Linked DNA regions of Saccharomyces cerevisiae S288C. The protein of the gene in region 2 binds, or shares a complex with, the protein of the main gene of each other region. Each region holds a gene or a part of one and is shown on either strand. Other genes may lie near its edges.

Region 1 (3,939 bases), on a different chromosome or scaffold from region 2:
GACTTACCGACATTGGGAGCACCAAGTAATACCAGCTTTATTCCATTTTGCAGTATGGTAGACTTTTCGACTTTTTGCATGAAAGTAACGATTTGGTCTCGCAGACATATGATGTTCTTTTCTACATTATGGAAAATCTCATCCGTATTCTGAATTTCTTGGCTATTATCGTCGGCAAAATCTATTATAGCAGTCAACTGTGCCATATTCTCGATAATGGTTTCCCTCCAGTTCTCAAATAGGATTTTGTTATCCCCATTGAAACTTGACAAGGCAGATCTCCTTTGAGATTCTGTTTCCGAATCAATAAGATCTTTGATACCTTCAAGTTGGGTAAGGTCAAACTTTCCATTTTGAAACGCCCTCCTGGAGAAGTCGCCAGGCAAGGCAAATCTTATATCTTTACCACTGCTTCTATCGTGTAACGAGCCGATAGCTTTCAGTATACTATTAACTACGGCTTTCCCGCCGTGAACGTGCAGCTCTAACACATCCTCACCAGTAAATGAATAAGGAGCTTGGAAATATAGCAACAACGATGTGTCTAATAATATTTTACTTTCCTTTTGATCATGAGGTTTCACACTACAAGAGGACGGCGAATAAATGTTCCTCAAAATAGCCTTCCTGATCGGCGGAACTGTACTTGAATCAACTAGTCGATTGTAAATGTACTTAGCATGGGTACCAGATATTCTTATGATTGCTATCGCAGAGGTTTGATTTGCTGGTGTAGATAATGCATATATGGTTGGTTGCTGGAAGGTATAAGGCTTTGCAAGTCCGGAGTACCTCTTTAACGACCTTCTTACGAGAAAGGATCTCGAAATAAGCCGTGATTGTAAGAAAGATGCACTATTCATAAATAGAATACTTATTAACCATATATAACATTCTCTAAGTAGATAGCAGTCGTATGGAATATTGCTGTATCTTCATGTAACCTCGTAAAAGACGTTATATATGGGTTAGTTAGCCAAAAAAATAAAAAATGGACGAGTCCGGAATCGAACCGGAGACCTCTCCCATGCTAAGGGAGCGCGCTACCGACTACGCCACACGCCCGATTTGTATTGAAGACTTTGAAGAAGTATAGAAAACATAAATGTAGGATACATTTTTAAACTTTTATTAATGAAACCAATTTGAAGACATGTGGCAACCCGTGTTACTCATATATATATATATATATATATACAACTATCAGAAGATTATCAATCTAATAGATCTTTAACGCCGCCTCAGTACTTTCTGAACTGCAAGTAGAATATTTTTTTCTGGAATCGGCACATTCACATTCAGACGTATACGATGTCAGCACTTAGATTGCTACTATAGCAACTCATTTATTATTAATCCCCATTCGTTCCGATATGGATGGCATATTATTACCTTTAAGAAAGGTGGAGTTCCAAAGATTCATCAATTTTACTGTTTATAGAAAACGTTACGGAAAGATGAAAAGTAAACACCAAGGTCTCTTATGCCTTGACATAAAGAATACGGAATAGAATGATTGTAGACGCAACAAGATGAATAATTAATGGCAAATTATTATCCTATTAGATATAAATTACAGTCGCTTTAATGCGTGATTATAGAAAAGGTCCTTACAATATGCAGCCGGGTAAAGAGTGAAGTTTCCCGCCTCTGAAAAAGAGCAATACTAAAATAATCTGAAAAGAATTGGTGAAAAGAAAGCTGTAGTTATATATACAGAATGGGCATAGTTTTGAAAAGAGCAATAGCAGCAGGTATGAAACCTTTTCCAAACAGTACGTGGCATTGGAGCCGAACCATAAGACCTTTCTCACAGCATTTGTCTAGCACATGCTTTCTGCAGCAATCCTCGAGATTTACTTCAAAACGATACCTACACCTTTCAACATTAACACAACAAGAAAAGCGCTTCCTACCCGAATCTGAACTTGCTAAATATAAGGAATACTACCAGGGTTTGAAGAGCACTGTAAATGAAATACCTGAATCAGTGGCCTCTAAGTCACCTTCGTTAAGAACGCTTCATAAGAGATTACAATTACCTAATGAGTTGACCTATTCAACACTTTCCAGATGCTTAACGTGTCCCTCTGCAAAACTACCCGACAAGATAAATAATCCTACAAAAGGTGCAGCTTTCGTTAATACTGTACCTACTAATAAATACTTGGACAACCACGGTTTAAACATCATGGGAAAGAACTTGCTCTCTTACCACGTTACAAAATCCATTATACAGAAATATCCGAGACTACCCACTGTGGTTTTGAATGCTGCGGTTAACGCATATATATCAGAGGCGGTACTGGCGCACATTGCTAAATACTGGGGTATTGAAGTAGAAACTACGTCTGTTTTATCACGCTATTTGAAAATGGAACCATTCGAATTCACTTTGGGAAGACTCAAATTCTTTAATAATTCATTGAACTCTAAGGACGGTATTGAGCTAATCACCGGAAAGAACTTTTCAGAAACAAGCGCTCTTGCAATGAGCGTGAGGAGTATAATAGCTGCCATCTGGGCAGTAACGGAGCAAAAAGATTCTCAAGCTGTTTACAGATTTATTGATGATCATATAATGAGCAGGAAATTGGATATCACGAAAATGTTCCAGTTTGAACAACCTACAAGAGAATTGGCTATGCTATGTCGTAGAGAGGGGCTGGAGAAACCTGTATCGAAACTGGTCGCTGAGTCTGGTAGACTATCGAAATCACCTGTCTTTATTGTGCATGTATTTTCAGGCGAAGAGACATTAGGTGAAGGTTATGGTTCCTCATTAAAGGAGGCAAAAGCAAGAGCCGCTACTGATGCTTTGATGAAATGGTATTGCTACGAGCCTCTTGCTCAACAGGAACCAGTTATTGATCCTGGCACTGTTGTTGTTTAGTTCTGTGTTTGCCATTTTGTAGATAGAGAACTCCTTAACCAGAATACATTCTTGTACATATATATATACACGTTGGTACGATATGCGTTTACTTTATGTGTACTAAAATATATAAAAGTGAACAGAAGCATGTTCCTTGTTTACTACTATATCTTACCAGGAAACAGACAAAAAAAAAAAAGACTTGCTATATTTAAAGAGAACGCACATTTGTGAGGGGATAATAACACAAAGCAAAGTAATATAGGGTAAATGGACCTCCTAAAATTCAGTTCTCTAGCTATATCAGAAATTAACTTCCTGCACGAGTCATCGTTTGACTCGATAGACCACTCTTGGTTTTTATTGATAGGTTGCAAATTGGATCAAGATGATGAAATTTACATCCCAATAAATGGTAATGAAGCAGAGTCTCAATGGTATATTGAAAAAGTTATACGAATCCCGATGCAGGAAAATGATAAAATAAATCAAGAACGCCTAGAAAGGAGAATTAACCTAACAAAAGTGACTCAAAAGGACATTTGTATACTGGGTATTCTTGATTTATGTCAGTTAGAAGAGGACGAAAATATCACTAATAAAGTGACGGAGAAAGTGCTCACCCAATTGACCGCCTTGGCATTGAAATATCTGATAAAATATAACGTGTTTCGCCAACATACCTCCTTCCAAGAAGCTGTCAATAGTTTAAAGGGTTATAAAATTGAAAATAGTGTACAGATAGGCGCGGAAATTATCCTTGATTTTCTACAAGATAAAGTGCAAATTAAGGATGTAAATGACAGATACCAAATTCCCACACCTAATAATACCGTAGACCCAGGTTTTGATGAGTTTCAATTAATTGACATGAAGGATAAAGAAATCAATATTCAAAAATATAATAATAATACCATAAGAAAATTACTCGAGAAGATTAATCGAATGATAATATTCTTGAAAAATTATGATGCCACTGACAAGCCTTTCTCTTCCACGCAAGATGTAATACTTCGAAAAATATCAATGCTTGTAACACAACTGCAAAGAGGTGGAACAAGTGA
Region 2 (3,627 bases):
ATTTAGATTTTGGCACAGCATACGAATTGGGCAAGCAAGTGTTTGAAATTTGTCAAGAAGCGGGCCAACATATGATGAAGGCGTTGGGCGATGAGCATTGGTTAACATTTTATCAAATGGGGAAGTTTGTCGATCCAAATTGGGTGGATAATGAAATTCCCACAGAGATAATTGTTCTGCAGATGAGCATCTTGGGCCGCTTACTGGAGGTTTGCCCCCTTGAGGAAGTCGAAATTGTTACATCGCAATGGAGCACACTAGAATTGGAGCTAAGCGCCCGTGACCTGGTGAAAGACAAGTACGCACTGGACGGACAGAACGACAATAAGAGTAAGGTAGGCGGCATTGCTAGGGAGATTTTCCACAACGTGACTAATTTCTGAATACATACAGCGTATAGCTATATAAAGGTGTATGTATGTGTGTATGTATGTGCGAGTGTGTGTGGATATATATATATATATATATTTACAGGAGAGAGGGTAGGAAGCCCACGGGAATCATGCAGTTGCTTGCTCCACGGAGCTTGCATGAATTAGCTGTTTCAAGTATTTTCTCACGGTGGGGAGTTCGTCTAATTTAGGGACTTTATTATCTGGGGACTTTCTCAGGTCTTTGATGGCGACACAAGCCTCTTGAACGGCATGAGGTTCGAAGTCGGAAGTGAATAAGATGAACGACTCGCCCACGTCTGTGATCGGTTCTTGTGATATTTCGGATATGAGGTCATTGGAGTCCTTGAACCGCTGTAGTTTTAAGTTTGCCAAGAACTTGATCCCGTCGATGAAGTTAATGTCGACTGTATTATCCTGGATGGTTTCCGATATGCCGAAAATGGCCAACTGGAATCGTGTGAGCATGGAGGCGACTTCGTCATCAGGGATATCCTTGTTCAAGAAGTAATCGTTGGCCAAAGTATCCAAGAACTTTTTCCTCTCCGATTCATCCTGTAAAAATTCGCGTGAAGCGCTATAGGCCAGCTCTCTTTCGTTAAGTACATGTCTTATTTGCCACATGGTGGTTCTGATAGAGTTAGAGAGCTCACTGAATTCGTCATGCGTGGAGCCAACAATGTTTTTCAAGAGATGGTTTTCGCGAGCAAGCACATTTTGCTCCCTGAGGCAGTTGTACCAAAGGGAATGCAAGTCGTTAAAGGACTTGTGCCTCAACTCTGGGATGCTCCAGGGTCTGATATGGCTGGAAGGCGGCAAGTCGTCGGCGGACCTGATGAATTTCTTGTTGGAGAAGAACTGCCACAGCGGGTGGTCGTCGGGACAGCGCAGGTTTGAGGTTGTTGGTGGGATTGGTTCGGTAATCCTCAGGTTGTTGGAGTGATGAGTCAATTGAGTGGGCGGTCTTATTTTGTCTTTGGGAAGCACCGGTTGTTTTGGCTTTGGTTTGGTAAACTTTGTTCTGGCACGCAGGGGCCCTCCTTGGGAGTGGAACGATCTCTTCCACATTTTTATTATATTTTTATGGTATTTTTTTCTAGCCGCAGAGATAGAATGGTACTCTCTTACCAGGGCTCGATAGCTTTCAGGGCAATTCTTTTAGTTTGCTGAAATGATATTTTTTCTTCTTCCTGATGCGCCCTTTTGGCTATCCGTGCTGTGTGATAGGTCGCGATATTGAAAGAAGAAAAAAAGCAAGAAAGCTGAGGTTTGAACAAACAAGAGGCAGGATGTTTCCATCCATTCTAGCAACCAATACAACAGGGGAGAGACACGCAGATAAATACACACACACACACAACATCACGCACACTCAAGAAAATGGAGACACCTTTGGATTTATTGAAACTCAATCTCGATGAGAGGGTGTACATCAAGCTGCGCGGGGCCAGGACGCTGGTGGGCACACTGCAAGCGTTCGACTCACACTGCAACATCGTGCTGAGTGATGCAGTAGAGACCATATACCAATTAAACAACGAGGAGTTGAGTGAGTCCGAAAGACGATGTGAAATGGTGTTCATCAGAGGAGACACAGTGACTCTAATCAGCACGCCCTCTGAAGATGACGATGGCGCAGTGGAGATATAAGCAAAGAGGAGGAGAAAACAAAGGGAAACAGTACGTATTTTTTTATTTTACTTTTAGTATATTAAAAATGTGTAAGATATAAAACAAAAAAAAGAAAAGAAACGAGAAAACATAAAAAAAATGCGTATTAATATTATAACAGATCGATACACTTGGCAATGGTTTCGACACCGGTTTGCAAGTCCTCTTCGGAGATGACCAAAGGAGGAGCCAATCTGATGATGTGGTCGTGGGTGGGCTTAGCCAAGAGGCCGTGATCCTTCATCAATAGACACAAGTCCCAAGCGGTCTTACCATTGGCCTTGGATGGGTCGATTACGATGGCGGTAAGCAGTCCCATACCACGCACCTCAGAGATTATACCGTTAGATTTGGCTTGGAGAGCTTTCAATTGGGCGATGAAAGAGCTACCCAGTTGGGCGGCTCTTTGGCACAGCTTCTCGTCGCGGATGACCTCGAGGGCGGCGATGGCAACGCGGGAAGCCAAAGGATTACCGCCGAAAGTAGAACCGTGAGATCCTGGGGTAAAGCAAGACATGATGTCGTGAGAAGACAGAACACATGAGACGGGAAGAACACCACCTGAGAGAGCCTTACCTAACAAAACAATATCAGGCTTGGCCTCTGCCTTGTAGTGGTCGTAGCAAAGCAACTCACCGGTTCTACCGATACCGGTTTGAATTTCGTCAACGATCAATAGGACGTTGTGCTTACGGCATAATGCGGAGACCTTTGGGAAGTAGTCTGCGGGGGGCACGACGATACCGGCTTCACCCTGAATTGGCTCTAGAATGATGGCGGCAACGTTCTTACCTTCAGGAGATTCCAAGATAGGGACGAAATCTTCTGCGTGGCCGTATCTGATCTTGTGCACGGAGTGACCACTGGCAACGTTAGGCACGAAAGGCCCGAAATGCAACTTGGAGTCCTCGTAGTCGGTACTCAAACTGATAGCACCGAAGGTTCTCCCGTGGAAGTTACCCTCGGCACCCAGAATGATGGCTTTATCTTGAGGGATGTTCTTCTTCATGTACCCCCATCTTCTGGCCAACTTCAAAGCAGTTTCCACGGCTTCTGCACCGGTGTTCATGGGCAAAACGGTTTCGAACCCGAAGAATTCGGTCACGAACTTGGCGAATTGCGCGTAAACATCGTTGTGGAACGCTCTGGAGGACAATGTTAGTGTTTGTGCTTGCTCCGTCAAAGCCTTGATGATGTGAGGATGGCAATGGCCCTGGTTGACGGCAGAATAAGCGCTCAGGAAGTCGAGGTACAGCTTACCCTCCGGGTCCCACACATGTGCGCCCTTAGCCTTGTGAAAAACGACGGGCAAGGGGTGGTAGTTGTGGGCGGAGTATTTGTTTTCCCATTCAATGGTTTGCTTGGAGGAGAGGGTAGCTTCGGACATTGGTGTTGTGGTTCTGTGCTGCTGTGGTGTCTTGTGGTGTAGTATCCTTTGCTGTAATACGAACAACCGCCATATAACAACAAGACTCAACGTATGGTGGCCGCAATTTATATATGCAATCGAGTCAGCCAGTCAGCCGCTAAGGGCAAGGGCACGCGACTACGGCGTCGGCTAGCG
Region 3 (2,480 bases), on a different chromosome or scaffold from region 2:
ACAGAATGTCGCTAAAGAATTGAACAAAGTCATTCCAATCGCAGCTGTTACGGGTGCATCCGTCTTAAGTTTGATCACCGTTATCGGTGAATCTTTGGGTTTGAAAGGTAAAGCTGCTGGTATAGTTGTTGGCATTGCTGGTGGGTTTTCTTTGCTAGAAGTCATTACCATTGAATACCAACAAAGTGGCGGTCAAAGTGCTTTGAATCAAGTCTTGGGTGTTCCAGGTGCTATGTAAACAAAGAAAAGAAAAAAAAGAAGGAAAACAAAAAAGAAGATCAAATTCTCTCTGCTACGCGCATTTATATACGTACGAACTTTTTGCTCTTCTTTTAGATTTATATGTATCTATATTTAACTCAAAGAAAGATGACATATGGTGCAATGTCTAAGCCATGTTTTATTTGATTTTGTTTTACAATCTTAAGTTTTATTTTTTATCTACCTATAAAGTCGAAAACTAGTATTTACACGCATATTGAAGAAAGATTATAAATAACTTATCCACGCTCCTTATAACATGAAGTGTCGGTGGCCCCTTCGCTTTGTACCCTCCCGTTTACTATGTATTCTTTTATCTTTAATAACTGTAAACGAGGATCTAATGGGCCGCCGCTAAATCCTTTAAATTCGTGTTTTAGAGGTGGTACATTTGCGTTAACGTAGGGCTTTAATTCGAAATTAACCATATCTGGGGTAACATAGGTTCTGACTTTCTTCCAGTTTATCACATAACCACCGAATTTTGTATGTCTACCAATCCCTGAAGCTCTTGTCCCTTTGTACATCGTCTTGTTACCTTGCTTCGTGGTCAACGGCACTCTTTTATTCCCAACTTTTGATAACCCATAAAATAATTCACCATCTCTGTATTTCTTCCAAGGCCTGGTAAGAGCATTAATAGAGGTCTTACTAAATTGAGAAATGGGTGAGCCTTTCATTTTAGTTATTTGCTGTCCTCACTTTCAAGGTAATCTTTGATTCCCGTAGTTTTTTTAAGCAAAAATTGGTGTATACTACTTCAATAGTCCTATCTTTTGTATTAATTCTAGCTTTTCAAAAATAATCCGTGAAACGTGATAATAATAATTATGTATCTCAAGAAAATCATCATCAAATAGCCGCCAACAAGCTGCAGTGAAGCAACATTGAAAGTCCTTCCCGCAAGTATTAGGCTCTGTTTAAAGATTACTAACCTTGTTAATAATTATAATAACACTTCACAGCTATTTTCGTATTCCTTTTCATAGTTAAGGGCATTTCACTTTGATCTAGAATGATCCTCTGATTTCGATGTTTTGTTATATGGTAAGGAAGCTCTTGAGCATTGCTCACAATTACTGCTGCAATTAGAAGTTCAATGAAGATGGTATCTTTTTTTTTTTTTCTCATGAGAGGGAATACCGACTTTACCATAAACTTGAGTGATAATCGCATTGTGCGCCGCGAAAAGCTGTGGCACCAATATCAATAAAATGTGTGTAACTGAATTATTTAAGTGAAAAACTATTTCGAGAAACCGAACAACCCTGTAAGGAAAAGTGAAAAACGAGGGCAGAAGTAATTGTGAAATCATGTACGATAGCAGGGGTGTCGCATTGCACTCTGAACTAATTCATAGGTGGAATCACGCTTTTTCCATCTTATCCATTGTTGCATTTCCAAAAAAAAGATTGTTGTTTGCTGGTAGCCAAGACTCCAAGATATTGGTTTTTGATCTTCCCACATATAATCTAATACATACGATTAGACTAGGCGAATCACAAGAGGAAACGCATACCAGATCTTCGGTTTTGTGCTTGACAGGATCAGAAGATGAAAACTTTTTATTTTCAGGCGGCGCAGATTCTTTGGTGAGAATTTGGTCCATTGGCGAAAAGACCATTAGAGATGACTTTCTACCTGTTACTGAAATAGCCACTGTTTACTCAGTGACCGATATTGGTGATATTTTCTCATTGGCATATTTGGATTCGTTGGAAACTATTGTCTTTGGCTGTCAAAATGCAAGCTTACTATATGTTGAGAACTTGATTCAGAAGATTGAAAAAAAATCCTCTGATGGAGTAGAAAATATCAATAAATTACCGCATAGAAGATATGATAAGTTCTTTGATTCGTTAGGTCCGACTGGATATAGTTCAAATTCATTATCTCAAACTTCATTGACCTCTCTACAAGAAAACTGTGGCGCTGCCATCATAGAGGTTCCCTCCGAAAACATTATTAAATATGCACATTATGGGTTTATTTATTCTATTAATAAATTGTGTCCCAGGTTTAATCAGTTATTGGAAAAAAGCTCACGAACTTCTGGTGCAGAGCACATAATTTCATCCGCTGGTGATGGAATAAGCAAGCTTTGGGAGTTCTCTAAAGATAAAGGGCAAAACACTGTTAAAATCTCCTTGATAAACGATAAAATCGACAATGAAGATAGCGTCATATCCCAAACTATTGAGTTCCCATTTTTATATTGC
Region 4 (3,131 bases), on a different chromosome or scaffold from region 2:
TGAAAGAGGCGGATCTGACTTTTGAGTTGTACGGTACTGTCGTGCCCAAAACTGTGAACAACTTTGCTATGCTGGCCCATGGTGTTAAGGCAGTTATCGAAGGGAAAGATCCCAATGATATACATACTTACTCGTACCGTAAGACCAAAATCAACAAGGTTTACCCTAACAAGTATATCCAGGGTGGTGTGGTTGCCCCAGATGTGGGTCCTTTCACCGTCTATGGGCCCAAATTTGATGACGAAAACTTTTACTTAAAACATGACAGGCCTGAAAGACTCGCAATGGCCTATTTTGGACCTGATTCTAACACCTCGGAATTCATCATCACCACTAAAGCCGATGGAAATGAGGAATTGGATGGCAAAAGTGTCGTGTTTGGTCAAATAACTTCTGGTCTAGATCAACTAATGGATGCTATTCAATACACAGAAACAGACGAATATGGAAAGCCTCAGCATGAATTACGGTTCCTGTATTTCGTTCTAGAAATCTTAAAAATTAGTAACATCTTAGATTTGCACGCTGCGTACACAGAAAAAGTCGAGAAGTTTAGAAATGGCGATGTGTCTGTTGGCTCCACTTTGGAAAACATCTTCCGTAACGATAAAGCCTACACACCTTTAACCACCTCCACTGGAACCACCGCCTATGATTTAAACCACCCAATTTCCAGAGCCTTGATGTGTTTAACTGTTCTTGGCCTTTGTTTCATTGCCTACAAGGGCATGCACGAAAAGCCTCATACGGTTTCATTAAGACACAAGTAAGCAACTTCTTTTCGATGGCTTGATGACCACATGGCTATGATTTTAATTAATATATATACATGACAATTATTTTTTTATACATTAGCGATACCTAAAATTTCTTGGTTAATACCCTTTTGACAGCCTCTACTGCATTGCCCTTGATAATAATTTTTTTCGATTGCATCACCACAGACCATGATTTTTTGGGTATGAAAGGCAGTTGCTCCTGCAAGTCATTTCTTAGTTGAATTACATCTCCTTCAATCTTTCTGATCTCCGTGATAATCTTGTTACCTCCATTTTTATAAGCGGAATACACCGGTAGATTTCCGGTCCTGCTTCTCTCCACGTAGTAGGTCTTTTTACCAAAATTGTTGTTTCCTATGAGCTCATGCATCTTCACGTCTTCCAGCTTTGGAAATATTGGCGCCTCAGCAGCTTTATTTGAATTAGTGGATATACATCTTATCGTTTGGTATATCGAGGCAGTGGCAGGCCCTGGAAGGCATTTACCCCTACCAAAACATCTAGTAACACACGAACTGATCATAGTTTTGCTCACACGCTACCTTGGAGTAAGTTGCTTTAGGTAAACGGGCACTTCTTTCAAAAGGTTTTCCTTCTTGCTGGAGCTATACTGCTTATAGTACCATATTTTAAATTCATACCAAGCCATTCGTACGCGATGACCATTATAGATCGACCTTGCGACACCATCATATTTAATATTCAAAAAGAAAAAAATGCAGTTCTATATCACAGTTATATAATATTTATATGTGCATGTATGTTACTTGTCTTTGCACATAACTCAATGCGTCCACAATCTTACCATCTTGTCTTTCCCACCACTACACACTCTTTTACCGTCGACACTCCAGTCGACGGTATAAACTTCGTCTTTATGACCAGGGAGGTCAACAGAAAGTTTTCTAGTTCTTACATCCCACACTTTCAACGTGGTATCTTTGGAACATGACACCAGTAGTCGGCAGTCCGATGACCACGCAACCTGGTATACGCTGGCTACATGCCCTCTAAATGTGGAGATAAACTTACCATCTCTACCGTCCCAAAGTTTGATAGAGTTATCAAAAGACGCTGAGACAATATACCTACCATCAGGGCTGAACGCCACATGATTGACTAATTTTTGGTGACCGGTCATTCTTGCTATAGGCTTGGTAGATTTTAGTGGGTTCCATAAAAACATGGTATAATCATCGCTTGCAGTAACCATCATTTCTTCTGAATTTCCATTCTTTTTACAGATTTTTTCATAATTTTCCAATGCCTTTTTCTGGGCTTCTTCTGGTGTAGAAGGCTTCTTACCTGTATGATCGAATGCACCAATGCGCAATGCGTAATCTGTAGATAAAGATAAGTGATTAACCCAGTGCGCATGCGACTTCAAAATGTTGATACATCTGCCCTGCGAATTGATGTCCCATACACGTACGGTTCTATCGTGAGAGCCACTATACAATAGACCTTGGCCGCCCCATTTGACACAAGACACTGAATTTGTGTGACCACTCATCGTATACTGGCAAACTCTGCTCACAGTGTCCCAAATCTTAATAGTACCATCCTTAGAAGATGAAGCTAATCTTGGTTTGGAGCCCGGCTTCACAAGATGTATAGGTTCCCAACTTAAAGAAGTGATCCACTTGGAATGACCTCTGAGAGCATCACCTAGACACTGACCGCTTTTTGGGTCCCATAATCTTATGGTATTGTCCATGGATCCCGTAGCAATTACTTCTCCATCGGGGGACCAGGAAACGCAGAGAACCCAATTGTAGTGACCCTTTAGAGTATGCATTGGCGTTTGGGTGTCACAGTCCCAAATCCTTGCAGTATTATCACCTGCACCGGTTACCATCCTAGAACTCGTATGTGGTGCGAAGGCAGAACACAAAATTGTGGAACCGTGACCTGCAATGGCTGATGAACTTCTAGTTACCGGCTTGACTTTGAAAACTGCTCTTGGCGTATACAGTAGCGTGATCTGATCTTCTGTACTGTTATAGCCTGGTTTTATTAATGAAGAATATAGGTTATCTGTTATATCAATCGTCTTCACAGGGTCACTGGCCTTCTTACCTTGAATTGTACAGCTGAAGGTATATGGCACTGGATCGTCTGAAGTACCGTTCAATTGATTTAAAAGTTCTTCTAACTGTTTCTCGGAGATAGCACCGGGAACTCTCAGGGCGCCACCTACATTGTCACCAGTATCTAAAGCTTGGAACTTGATTGAAACATTGGGTAAATCTTTCGGAATAATAGCTACTTCTCTGGGAAGTTGAGCCTCTTTCTTTTGTTTCTTAGAAGGTGGAGGAATCAGGGTGGACATCTGTATATTGTGTTAGTGTG

The links.
Region 1: MRPL4 (region 2) and MRPL3 share a complex: the UniProt entries of both Saccharomyces cerevisiae proteins name them as parts of the mitochondrial large ribosomal subunit.
Region 3: MRPL4 (region 2) and MRPL27 share a complex: the UniProt entries of both Saccharomyces cerevisiae proteins name them as parts of the mitochondrial large ribosomal subunit.
Region 4: MRPL4 (region 2) and IMG2 share a complex: the UniProt entries of both Saccharomyces cerevisiae proteins name them as parts of the mitochondrial large ribosomal subunit.

What each region holds. Positions count from the first base shown.
Region 1 is NC_001145.3:320,155-324,093, forward strand, and holds MRPL3 (mitochondrial 54S ribosomal protein mL44 MRPL3), read left to right. Parts: upstream 1-1,720; coding exon 1,721-2,893; downstream 2,894-3,939. Other genes in the region: MSS1 (Mss1p), read right to left, coding at 1-863; CSI1 (Csi1p), read left to right, coding at 3,146-3,939. UniProt on the Saccharomyces cerevisiae protein: Component of the mitochondrial ribosome (mitoribosome), a dedicated translation machinery responsible for the synthesis of mitochondrial genome-encoded proteins, including at least some of the essential transmembrane subunits of the mitochondrial respiratory chain.
Region 2 is NC_001144.5:1,012,324-1,015,950, reverse strand, and holds MRPL4 (mitochondrial 54S ribosomal protein uL29m MRPL4), read right to left. Parts: upstream 1,461-3,627; coding exon 501-1,460; downstream 1-500. Other genes in the region: SEC39 (Sec39p), read left to right, coding at 1-383; U4/U6-U5 snRNP complex subunit LSM3, read left to right, coding at 1,773-2,042; CAR2 (ornithine-oxo-acid transaminase), read right to left, coding at 2,176-3,450. UniProt on the Saccharomyces cerevisiae protein: Component of the mitochondrial ribosome (mitoribosome), a dedicated translation machinery responsible for the synthesis of mitochondrial genome-encoded proteins, including at least some of the essential transmembrane subunits of the mitochondrial respiratory chain.
Region 3 is NC_001134.8:766,701-769,180, reverse strand, and holds MRPL27 (mitochondrial 54S ribosomal protein mL41 MRPL27), read right to left. Parts: upstream 942-2,480; coding exon 501-941; downstream 1-500. Other genes in the region: SSH1 (Ssh1p), read left to right, coding at 1-238; glutamine amidotransferase subunit DUG2, read left to right, coding at 1,575-2,480. UniProt on the Saccharomyces cerevisiae protein: Component of the mitochondrial ribosome (mitoribosome), a dedicated translation machinery responsible for the synthesis of mitochondrial genome-encoded proteins, including at least some of the essential transmembrane subunits of the mitochondrial respiratory chain.
Region 4 is NC_001135.5:239,242-242,372, forward strand, and holds IMG2 (mitochondrial 54S ribosomal protein mL49 IMG2), read right to left. Parts: upstream 1,303-3,131; coding exon 862-1,302; downstream 1-861. Other genes in the region: peptidylprolyl isomerase family protein CPR4, read left to right, coding at 1-770; RSA4 (Rsa4p), read right to left, coding at 1,564-3,111. UniProt on the Saccharomyces cerevisiae protein: Component of the mitochondrial ribosome (mitoribosome), a dedicated translation machinery responsible for the synthesis of mitochondrial genome-encoded proteins, including at least some of the essential transmembrane subunits of the mitochondrial respiratory chain.